Linked DNA regions of Coturnix japonica. The protein of the gene in region 3 interacts with the protein of the main gene of each other region in a pairwise test. Links are inferred from orthologs where the notes say so. Each region holds a gene or a part of one and is shown on either strand. Other genes may lie near its edges.

Region 1 (4,061 bases), on a different chromosome or scaffold from region 3:
GCTTCTGAGCTGCTGCTGCTTCTATAGTCTGGGGGCAACGCTGGTCCTGCAACTGAGCACCCAGAGACATAGGGGATATTTGTTAAACATCTCTCAGAATCATAGAACCATAGAATGGCCTGGGTTGAAGAGGACCACAATGATCACCCAGTTTCAACCCCCTGCTATGTGCAGGGTTGCCAATAACCAGACCAGGCTGCCCAGAGCCACATCCAGCCTGGCCTTGAAATGCCTTCAGGGATGGGACATCCACAGCCTCCTTGGGCAACCTGTTCCAGTGCGTCACCACCCTCTGTGTGAAAAACTTCCTTTTAATATCTAACCTAAACCTCCCCTGTCTCAGTTTAAAGCCATCACCCAGACTTATACAGGATCCATCCTCACACTGCAGCTCTGCTTCTCCCTTCTGGTCACAGAATCACAGAATGACCCGGGTTGGAAGGGACCTCAAGGATCATGTAGTTCCAACCCCCCTGCCTGGCAGGGCCACCAAACATACACATTTACTAGATCCAGGTTGCCCCAGGGCCCCGTTCCAACCTGGTCTTGAAACCCTCCAGGACGGGGCATCCACAACTCCCTGGGCAGCTGTTCCAGGGCTAACCACTCTCCTAGTGAAGAACTTCCCCCTAACATCCAACCTAAATCTGCCCTCTTTTAACTTAAACATTTCCCCGTGTCCTGCTATTGTCAGCCCTTTTGAAGAGTTTACTCCCCTCCTGGGTGTAGGTTCCCTTCAGGTATTGAAAGGCTGCAATGAGGTCACCCCGCAGCTTTCTCTTCTCTAGGCTGAACAAGCCCAACTCCCTCAGCCTGTCCTCATAGTGGCGGTGCTCCAGCCCCCTGATCATCTTTGTGGCCCTCCTCTGGACCCTTAACAAAATCTCCATGTCTTTCTTGTAATGAGGGCTCCACACCTGGACACAGTACTCCAGATGGGGAAAGCACTGTGGCAGTACAGCACTGCCACACCTCAGCACTGTCACACCTCAGCCCGTTCCCACTCATCCCGTTCCCGCCCCCTCCCCTCAGCGCTGAGCTCACCCTGCCCCAGCTCCTCATCCGGGTCCTGTTCCGCGCAGCGCGGGAAGCCGGGCGGCAGCGCGGGGCCGATCATTTCGCGCGCCATGTTGGGGGGCGGGGCCGAGCCGGTGACGTCAGAGCTGCGCCGGCTTAACCCCGGAAGAAGGAGACGGGAAGCGGAAGTGACGCATTTAGTGGCGGCCGGGCTGTAGGAGCGGCTGGTCACGCGGCGGGCATGCAGCCGGGCGGCGAGTTGGGCTCCGCCGTCAGCCCGTTCGGATGGTTCCCACCGCTTCGCCCGCCGCTCTTTTGCCCTCCGCCCCCTTGGGAACATGGCTTATGGCCGCCGCCCGACGGCTACGCCCCGCCGCCGGCATGGTACCCGCCGGCCTACCAGGAGCCCACGAGGCGGCCGCAGGGTAGTGAGTGGGGGGGGTCCCGTCACCTTGTTTCCTTTTCCCTTCTATTTAGTACTTATTACTATTATTTTCTCTGATCCTCCGACCTCGATTTGAGTCTGCAGGGTCCCTCTCCCCCCCCCCACATCTGGTCCCACATGCTTGTGAGACTCATTGGCTGCAGCAATTGAAACCGACTGTTGTGTTGTGTGGGTTTTTCGTTTGTTCTTTAAGGTGGAAATGGCCATTTTCAGCAGGAATGGCAAGGAGAGCAAGCACCTGGCTTCCATAAGCGTTCTCCTGGTGGAAACAACAAGCAGAAGGTACAGATGGGCTGTATGCCCTTTGGAGTTTCCTTTCTGTTATAACTGTTCTGTGATGCTGGGATGGAGGTGGCCATGTGGGGCTTGTGTCCCTGTTTTGGATGTGCATCACGAAGATGATCAGGGGGCTGGAGCACCTCCCCTATGAGGACAGGCTGAGGGAGTTGGGCTTGTTCAGCCTGGAGAAGAGAAGGTTGCGGGGTGACCTCATTGCAGCCTTTCAATACCTGAAGGGAACTTACTCCCAGGAGGGGAGTAAACTCTTCAAAGGGCTGACAGTAGCAGGACACGGGGAAATGGTTTTAAGTTGAAAGAGGGAAGATTTAGGTTGGATGTTAGGGGGAAGTTCTTCACTAGGAGAGTGGTTAGGCCCTGGAACAGGCTGCCCAGGGAGGTTGTGGATGCCCCGTCCTTGGAGGTGTTCAAGACCAGGTTGGACGGGGCCCTGGGCAACCTGATCTAGTAAATGTGTATGTTTGGTGGCCCTGCCAGGCAGGGGGGTTGGAACTACATGATCCTTGAGGTCCCTTCCAACCCGGCTCATTCTGTGATTCTGTGCATGACAAGCAAAATAAGTGTGGTTCCCTTGCATGACTGAGGAAGTGATTCTTCCTCCTGGACTGTCCTCGTGAGGCTTCACCTGCAGTATTTTATCCGGGATATGAATTTGGAGTCAGTCTAGAACAGGCCACAGGGATGAGGGCTGGAGTGTTTCTCCTGTAGAGTAAGGAAGGGAGAGTGGGGTATGCTCTTGGATGTCAGGGGGAAGCTCTTTACAGTGGGAGTGGTGAGGTGCTGGAACAGGCTGTCCAGAGAGGTTGTGTGTGCTCTGTCACTGGAGGTGCCGGAGACCAGGTTGGGTGGAGCCCTGTTCTAGTGCTAGATCTGGAGATTGGTGGCCCTGCCTATGGCAGGGGAGTTGGAACTTGATCCATGGGGTCCCTTCCAACCCAAAGAGTTCTATGGTAAGTGGAGGCTCTGGAGAAGCCTCATTGTGGCCTTCCAGTACTTAAAAGGGGCATATAGGGAAGTTAGGGAGGGGATATTCATATTCATCAGATAGCGTGAGAGAGCAAGAGGTAGCAGTTTCAATCTCATCTATATCTACGTTGTTAACTATAAGGAAGAAATAATCTGCTTCGGGCAGTGAGGCACTGGCACAGCTGTCCAGAGAAGCTGTGGGTGCCCCATCCCTACAGGCATGTAAGACCACATTGGATGGGGCCCTGGGCAGCCTCAGCTGCTGTGTGGCAGCCCTGCACATGGCAGGAGGCTGGAAACTGGTTGGGCTTTAAGTTTCCTTCCAACTGAGGCCTCAAACCCTGAGCTCAATGAAGGGATCAAATCCTAAAATGCATAATCTCAATAAAAGCCTTTATTTTGATGGTGCCCAGATGCATAAAACACTTCAGTGGTTCATTATGTTTTCAGACCCTGACAACCTCATCACTTTGCTGTGATGGTGGGAGGGGGAAAGGTCCCTACTGCCCCTTGAGCTCCTACCTGGGATATTAGAACAGGCGTAGACTTGACTCTATGGGGAGGAGATGTGTGGAGCTGTAGCCCTGGCTCTTCTCCAAGCTGCTGCTAAGCCTGTGTCTGCAGAAGTGATTATAGAAGGGTAGTAGCAGGAAGAACTGAGTGTACTGCATTTTGTTTAAAAAATAAATGATATGAATTGTTAATGTATAGCTTTGTTAATATAGATCATTTTGAATGTTTTATTGGAATTATTACTGAAATATTTCCGATTTTATTAAATCTTATCTAATTAAACAGGGAGCACCTTGTAACCTTTTAACTTCTATGCTGGATTTTTATTTTTTTTTTCCTTCCTCTTAGAACAAAAAAAAGAAGGAGCCAGTTTTCTCTCACTATTGCGATACCTGTGACCGAGGCTATAAAAACCAGGAGAAGTACGATGAACATATTTCACAGCATATACAGGTTGAACTTTACTTGCGTTATTTTTATTTCAATCTCTAGTTTCATATATGAACTGTAGAGCTCACATATGCCAGTTCACGGAGTGCTGTAGGCACTCTTATGATGATAGACCTAGCAACAGATTCCTGAGCTGCTAGGAGATTTTTTTATACACTGTGTCTAGGGAAGCTTTCAGTTGTGTTTTTGGCTTTATTGCTCAAGTCATTTTAATGTTCTTCTGAATCATTGTTAATTCACTCCAGCATTATGAGCAACTTCACTGACATTAGCGTAGCACATGAAATATGTGTGAAAATGCTTTATGTGGTAGAGATTTTATGATGCATTCCCTTACTGCAAAGAAGTAACACAATTTGAAGTTGGAAAGCCC
Region 2 (3,965 bases), on a different chromosome or scaffold from region 3:
GGATCCCTCTAGAATGAGAAAGGAGATGGATAGTGGAAAACTGAACATGGCAGACAGAGCTGTATCTGTACAACTGTGGTATCAGTGACGATAAAAACTGAACACATGATAGACATTGTACACTTTAATTAAGCACACTGTGCCACAGAGTCTATAAGCACAGGACAACACAGGAAGACACTCTGAGCTGTTGTTTTTGAGACTGCATGCACAGAGTGAAGGAGGGAGAGATGCAGAGGAAACACTGTTGCTTTAAACAGTGTTTGAGCTGCCTTTGTGTCAGAGTAAGAGATCAGTATGTGCAACAAAAACGAAACTCCATGCCAAAGAAACTGCTGATTTCATAAAACTTGTTCAAAAAACTCCAGTGCTCCTTACAAACCCATGGTCTCCAGAGGTTTTCTCCACTTATGGCTGCCTCGTACTGTCTTCCATTATAAACCTTTTTTTTTTTCTTCCCTCTAGCTAAGGTCACTAATTCACTGCTAGGACTACCTTGCAACAAGAAGCTCAGAGCAGTCCTTGGAGAGAGACAGCAATACTTCATCCCCATTCCCCAAGGTAGCAAGAAGTCAGGATTGAGCAGCGAGCCTGACCCTTCAGCGGGTCTTAGAATCAGAACTGTTGGTTGGAAACGAGCCTTAAAGGCCATCTGGACAAACCCCCTACAATGGAAAGAGACTCCTACATCTAGATCAGGATGCTCAGAGCCCCTCCAGCCTGACCTTGAATATCTCCAGGGATGAAGCATCCACACCCCCAGACAACCTGTTCCTTACTGGAACTCCACTAGACTTATTGGAAAGTAAGTCTACATACAGTCTAAATCTCTCTTCTAGTCTGAAACCATTTCTCCTTGTCCTATCACAAAGAAAAGAATCTGTCCCTTTTCTTCTTATAGTCTCCCTCTAGATACTGAGAGGCTGCTCTCTGGTCTCCCTGGAGCCTTCTCTTCTCCTGGCTGAACAACCCTAGCTCTCTCAACTTCCTCTCTCATAGGGCAGGTGTTCCATCCCTTTGGAACATCTCATTTTTGTGGCCCTCCTCTGCATGTGCTCTAACAGGTCTAACATGCCCACATCTCTCCTGTACTGAGGGTTCCACATTCAACTCAGTACTCTGGGAAAGGTCTCACAACACAGTGCAGAGGGGCAGGATCACCTCCCTCTCCCTAATGGCCACATTCCTTTGGGTGCAGCCCAGGACACAGTTGGCACTGTGGGCTGTGAGGGCACACTGCTGGCTCATGTCCAGCTGCCATCCATCAGTGTCCCCAAGTCCTTTTTGGTAGGGCCGTGCTCCATCCCCCAGCCTGTACTGGTAGTGGAAATTGCCACAGCCCAGGTACCACAGAATCACAGAATGACCCGAGTTGGAAGGGACCTCAAAGATCATGTAGTTCCAACCCCCCTGCCTGTCAGGGCCACCAAACATACACATTTACTACGTCAGGTTGCCCAGGCCCGTCCAACTGGCTTGAACACCTCCAAGGACGGGGCATCCACAACCTCCCTGGGCAGCCTGTTCCAGGACCTAACCACTCTCTAGTGAAGAACTTCCCCTAACATCCAACCTAAATCTTCCCTCTTTCAACTTAAAACCATTTCCCCTGTCCTGCTATTTCAGCCTTTCGAAGAGTTTCTCCCTCCTGGGGTAATTCCCTTCGGTAATGAAAGGCTGCAATGAGGTCACCGCAACCTTCTCTTCTCCAGGCTGACAAACCCAACTCCCTCAGCCTGTCCTCATAGGGGAGGTGCTCGGCCCCCTGATCATCTTTGTGGCCTCCTCTGGACCCTTTCCAAAATCTCCATGTCTTTTTGTACTGAGGGCTCCACACCTGGACACAGTACTCCAGATGGGGCCTCACAAGAGCAGAGAGGGACAATCACCTCCCTATCCCTGCTGGCCACCCCTCTCCTGATGGAGCCCAGGATCCCATTTGCTTTCCGGCTGCCAGAGCGCACTGCTGGCTCAGTTTGAGTCTTTGTCCATCAGGACCCCCAGGTCTTCTCTGCCGAGCTGCTCTCAAGGACCACTCCTCCCAGCCTGTACAGGTGCCTGGGGTTCTTCCAGCCCAAGTGCAAAACCTTACAATACCGATATGCAATACCAGACCTTGCACTTGGCCAAGTGAGGGGGTCCTTGGCCCACTGCTCAAGCCTGTCCAGGTCTCCCTGGGCCTTGTCAGCAACATGGAAATCTATCTGCTGCCATTTGTTTTGTTCTGTGAAGACTATTTCTATTGTCAGAAAAACAAAAGATGAGTGCCGTACTTACAGCTTATCCTCCTCAACATCATAATCCAAATCAGCAAACATCCTTTTCGCTAACTGGAACCTGACCGTCTGAAAGCACCTTCTTGTAAACTCCCTAGGAAGAAAGCACAGAGCAAAACCCCCGTAAGGCCGCGCTCTCTGCGGGTCACCAGGGCACCAACGTCAACTCCCACCCCATCTATTTCTGAATGACGAATGGTGCCCTGATAGAGGGCTGCAAGTAGGGACCAGGTGGCCGCACGCTCTGCTCCAGGCACAGCACCACACCCCGCGGCCCGCTCCCCGCTCACACAGCAGCCTTGTTCTGTTTCCTAAGCAACTGCCGTGCCCCCGATCCCTTATGTCCCGCAGCAGGCCCCGCTCTGTGCTCCCAGGCCCCGGCCCCGCTCGCTGCCCCGCGGCTCGGTCACACGCTGCCGCCGCTCGCCCCACATCAAAGCCGAGACCTTTAGAGGTGGCCGGGCCGACCCCGCCGCTGACGCGTCGCCGCCGGAGCCGACCGGAAGCGCGCAGCCAAAGCCCGCCCCCCTTCCTCTAGCGCCCGCGTTGCTACGGGGACGCTCCATCCGCCATCTTGAGAGTGGCGGGCTCAAGGATCATGTAGTTCCAACCCCCTGCCTGGCACAGGGCCACCAAACATACACCCTTTACTAGATCACGTTGCCGCAGGGCCCCGTCCACCCTGCCTTGAACACCTCCAAGGACGGGGCATCCACAACCTCCCTGGGCAGCCTGTTCAGTACCTACCCCTCTCCTAGTGAAGAACTTCCCCTAACATCCAACCTAAATCTTCCCTCTTTCAACTTAAAACCATTTCCCTAGTCCTGCTATTATCAGCCCTTCGAAGAGTTTACTCCCTCCTGGGAGTAAAGTTCCCTTCAGGTATTGTAAGGCTGCAATGAGGTCACCCCGCAACCTTCTCTAGGCTGAGAATTCATAGCAACACTGAATACTCTAAGTGCGAAGGGAGCCGTAGGGACCATCGGGCTCCATAAAGGACCACCTGAAAATCAGACCCTACGACTGAGAGCACTGGCTGAAAGCTCCTTAAACTCCAGGGCCTCCAAAGTTACACCAGCCGCCCAGCTGGGGTTCATTCCTAAGGCAGGAGCTCCTCCGTGTGGGCACCATCTAGAAGGCAGCGTGGCTGATGGGCTCCGCTTTTGTGCTTCCCCTCTGGTGTGTGTGTGTATTGAATATGGCCCTCACTTCATCCCGGAAGCATCCCTGAAGCCTTTGTACACGCGTGCTGGGTGACCCTGCCTTTTGTGTGCACTCAATCCGATGTGTTCGGGGTCAGTTGGATGGGCTCTGAATGAGATGGTGTGTGCCTTAGGGCTGTGTTTCTCAGTGCTAGAGATCCGGCAGATCACCTCATCCCGAGGGGGAAAAGGAATGAAAATGATCATCTGAAATAAAATCATCATCATCATAAAACATAGCACTCACTGCCTACCAGTATGCTTTGGATCAAGAGAGCTCAGCAAATACAAGGCTTTTATCCGCCTTTCGAGACTCAATACAGCAAAGTCAGGCCAGGCTCCGCCAGTCAAACTCTCTTCTGTTCATCTTTCATCACGTGTAATAAGGAGTCTGCAAGCAGATCACACGCTGCATGACTAGTTGGCTTCTTGGCACTCAGATGTATTTCCCTGCAGTGGGTCTCTGTTAAATCTCGTGTTTCTGGCT
Region 3 (4,243 bases):
TTTAATATTCAGTGTAAGAGTTCTGAAGAGAAAATACGCTGCAGCTCAGAAAAATAAGTTACCTTTCACAGTAAGTGTTCCTACAAAGAACAGAGTCTACTCACTCAATTTACTTGCAGCACTTTACTTGTTTTTGGCCTGTTGAAATGGACAAGCAAAAAACATCTTATTTTAGTGACACAAAGTGGTAGAAAAAGCCAATTTACAAATAGGTCATCTAAAAAGTTTCCATACTCGAGTTAATTGATTTGCTTCTTGAAATCACAAATACTCATCAAGGGCATAAAGATAGGCATCAAGATAGATCTTTTCCTGAGAAGATTTTGATTCCTGACAATATTTTAAGCAAATGCTGAGAATCTTAACTATCCAACAAAATTAGCAAAAATGCAATCGATACAGAAAGTAAGCAGAGACTTCCATAAACATTTGTTGATTTATAAGGCTTTGAGGTTAACCCTACTGAATTTAAACTTTGGCATCATTCACGAATACCTCTCACTCTTTTTAAAGAACTTTATTTTTAAAATAACTTTAATTCATAGGACCATAGTTTATAAGTTACCGATACGACAGACCTGAACTCAAGGATCAGACATTTGTTGCACTTTCAAGTTGCTGTTGCTTTTCTTTTTATACTATCACATGATTTTTCAAAATAAAACTAAACATTTAGATTCACAGTTTAATTTGTTGAAATTTAATAACACTTAAAAACACTAGAATTTGAATTGAAAGGGATACATGTTAAGTACACAAATACTGAAAGGTCATAATTCCAAAATGCACTTGAAAACGGAATGTGACTAATTAGTCAGAACTGTAGTTTAACTTCACATTTAACCTAGTTAACACCTTAGTAAACTCACCACTAAATGTAAGAGATATAGTGCATATAGTGTGACAACTCAACAGATTTTGTACCATTTCATAATGAGAACATTTGCTTGAGCATTATGTGCCATATTTTTGAAAACTGGTAATATTCCAGAATGTTTCTAGAACGTGGAAGTAACAAAAGCTACAGTTAAGGTCTAAACAGAAATATTCTCTCTACTTGCCTTGAGATTTTTTTAAAGCAATCATTTATAAGGATTGCATCAACATCAGTTAGCAGAGGAAGATCAAACTTTATTGAAACTGCTTGCATACAAAATATATTGCACTATAACCAAACAAATGTCAACATAAAATCCAATCTGTTGTAGCTAATATGTACAGAGAATATTGCCCAAGAGCAGTTACATTACAAGGTCAGTCTACCTCGGTTAATTATCTACAGTATTTTAAACCAAACAGCTTACAGATGATGTGTGCAAGGTACCAATTTCTGTTTTCAAATACTATACATTCCCAAAATAAATAACTAGAAATCAACATTAATGTTTGGCAATACTTTTTAAGACATTTTTATATTTGTTAAATCATGTGCAGTTTGTTGCCATTTTTAGTATTCTCACCTGTATGCAAGGAAAACAGTGAATGTAGGAAGCAAAGAAACAAAACTCACAAAATACATCAGAGGCAAGGTCAAGTTTGTACAATTCTGTACATAATGAGTGGCTCTCACTCTGGAGTAATTTGAATAAAAAAAAAATTGGATTAAAATGGAGGTCCTTATATAGCTGTGCCTATTAAGCTTAATGTGCGATGAAAAATAAAAGAAAGCACAGCTCCTCCCCCTACTTCCCACCCTTCCCTAGTGTATGACTGTACTTTGGATCAAATGCTCATTCCAATGGGCTGGTATTACAGACCTTATACCTCAAAATATGACGGATTTGTTCCAACCACAGTATCTCCAGTTACTACACCAGGACTTTCCAAGATGGTGATTTTCTTTCTACCTCTCCTGAGATAGTCCCCAAATTAAAATAACAATTCGGAACTTTTCGGGAGGATGAAAAACATTAGCGCTTTAAACTGGTCATCTGGCCAAACAGCAGGCACACATTACTAGTTGTGAACAAATTACTTCTGTTCCCTTAGTAACAATGAGTTGTATTTTTTTGTTGTTGTTGTTGCTTCTTTTTCTCATTTATTTATTTATTTTTCCTTTAAGTTCTCCACAATGGAAAGTTTTTGTGGTTTTTTTTTTTTTTAGGTTTTTATTTTTTAAAAATCTATACTGCCTACAAAGAAAAAGTTACAACCCCTTTTTCAGTAACACTACTCGCCAAATCTTCAGTGCAAAATAAATTTCCTATTCTTATAACTGCCTAACCCAATGTTTATGTAAGGAAAAAATTATGGAAAGCATGCACTTGTCTATAAAGTACTAACATCTGACAAGGATTGCTACATATATTTTACATTTAGTGTTACCAACTCATCTTCCCTGAATTCTGCATCCAAATATATTATTCCTACCTGCCAAGATATAAAAAAGGCACAGATCATACAACTTTTTTTGCTAATGAAAATGACAACTGTTACATCACACGTATTTCAGGGTCCACTAAAATACTGAAAAAGGTGGACCAGAACGTGAACTGACACAGGACATAAAACGACATAGCATTTCATGAAGAACTTGTAAGTTAAATTGAAAACAGAAGCCAATTTGATTACTGCAAACACTATTTATTCTGAGAATTGAAATTGAGCAGTGATTTTGACCCAGTGCGTTAAAATGGTACAACTGAACAGAAAGTTTACCAATGCACAGCTCAGTATTTTTAAAACAAACAAAAAAGATTCTTTAATTGTTTGAAGTGCAATATGTACTTGAAAGCGATTTTCGGAAATTCAGATATTTTTTATGCAAATATTTTTAATAACTTTTTATTCTGAAAACAACTGCATACTGTTGATGTTAAAAAAAGGCTAACAGAGAACATATGTTCATTTCATGCCCTGCGCCATCTTGCCTACTATTTGTCTTTGGCCTAACAAGTTTCTCTAACGTGGAATAGGAATTACTGAAACAGTATAGGAAATATGACTTCAGACTTATGCAGTTTAGGGTACTCCATTCACCAGCGGCTGTTGACCATCTGCGTTGTCCGCCTTCTCTTTCTTCTGATTGCGTTCTTTACCTGTGCGCAGCCGGCTGCCTTCACTGGAGGTATTCTGTAATGTTTTAGTATGAACACTCCTTTCATTATTGCAGTCAATTCTGATTTGGAACAAGTCAAAGTTATATACAGCATTCTCCTCCCTTTATCTACCCCTTAAATATTTGCTACCTTTGCAGCCAGGAAGGAGTCAGGAATTTATTAAAGTCAGAAGAAAAGTAGTGCCAGATCCTTAAGGCAACTAGCTGAAACAGACACCATATGACTGTTTCTGTTTGAAAAAGCCACTTTCCTTGAAACGCACACAGAAAACAAAAAGCCACCCACAAATGTGGAAGTCCTCACACCCTAGACTACCCGGCCTTTGAAAGGTGTTCCCTGCACTCATACCTCCTTGAGACTGGAAGAAGTTTATGTGCAAGAAGTTGGAAGAACTCACAGTGTAACTCTGAAGTATCATCTCACTTCTAATAATTCAAGATTCTAGCTGTATAGAAGCATTTTGGAAAAACAGTCCTAAAAAACTCATAAAATGGTATCAACAAAAAAATGTCATCCACCCATGCACCTTTTGAACCTGAAAAAAAGTCACTTAATCTACCAAAAAGACCTATGTGACTGTTGCAATTAGCCACATTTTATAAACATTCAAATAAGCATTTCAAGTTTCTTACTTGTAGGAGGTAATTCCATAGTACTACTTCTAGCTTATTGCTTAAAATACTACAAGGTTTCATGATTTGATTTGTCAGTTTTTAAGTATACTTCAATACTAACTTAATACCGAATACTACATCTAAATCTCAGAGCAACAGAGAAGAATGACTAAGATGATTTTTTTCTTTTTTCAGTATCAACATTTGCCTTCATTTACTTCATCCTCCTTTACCTACTTAAAGTAGGTAACAGCATATTAACTATAAAGTTCTTTGCTAATTAATGAAAAAGAATAATCTCAGTCTCATCAGAAGTCCCAGTAACACCATGCAAAAGGTGGCAGCTACTCATTTTTTTTTTCCTCCCAGTATAACTTGTCCTATGGAGTAAGAGATGGTTGAACGTCGACATACAATAAATATCAGCTTGAAGTAACCTTGCCCAATGAAACGTATTTGAAAAACTGCACTAGTATCTTTATAAAAATCTACTACGTATTTTCAATATCGACTTGAACTACTTCTTCATTTGCATTCTTAACTTCTCTGGAGATTATGGCTGCAATAGAC

What was found.
Region 1: the proteins of FMR1 (region 3) and NUFIP1 interact in a two-hybrid assay, tested with the Homo sapiens proteins (2 studies listed by BioGRID). The link is inferred for Coturnix japonica from reciprocal best matches to the Homo sapiens genes FMR1 and NUFIP1.
Region 2: the proteins of FMR1 (region 3) and PICK1 interact in a two-hybrid assay, tested with the Homo sapiens proteins (2 studies listed by BioGRID and IntAct). The link is inferred for Coturnix japonica from reciprocal best matches to the Homo sapiens genes FMR1 and PICK1.

The regions. Positions count from the first base shown.
Region 1 is NC_029516.1:150,056,776-150,060,836, reverse strand, and holds the start of NUFIP1 (nuclear fragile X mental retardation-interacting protein 1), read left to right. Parts: upstream 1-1,251; 5' UTR 1,252-1,258; coding exon 1,259-1,445; intron 1,446-1,655; coding exon 1,656-1,744; intron 1,745-3,586; coding exon 3,587-3,691; intron 3,692-4,061. Other genes in the region: GPALPP1 (GPALPP motifs-containing protein 1), read right to left, coding at 1-52, 1,045-1,129. UniProt on the Homo sapiens protein: Binds RNA.
Region 2 is NC_029516.1:46,560,793-46,564,757, forward strand, and holds the start of PICK1 (PRKCA-binding protein), read right to left. Parts: upstream 2,811-3,965; 5' UTR 2,723-2,810; intron 2,697-2,722; exon of another isoform or gene 2,567-2,696; intron 2,371-2,566; 5' UTR 2,319-2,370; coding exon 2,278-2,318; intron 9-2,277; coding exon 1-8. UniProt on the Homo sapiens protein: Probable adapter protein that bind to and organize the subcellular localization of a variety of membrane proteins containing some PDZ recognition sequence.
Region 3 is NC_029519.1:17,270,962-17,275,204, forward strand, and holds the end of FMR1 (synaptic functional regulator FMR1), read right to left. Parts: intron 3,073-4,243; coding exon 2,962-3,072; 3' UTR 503-2,961; downstream 1-502.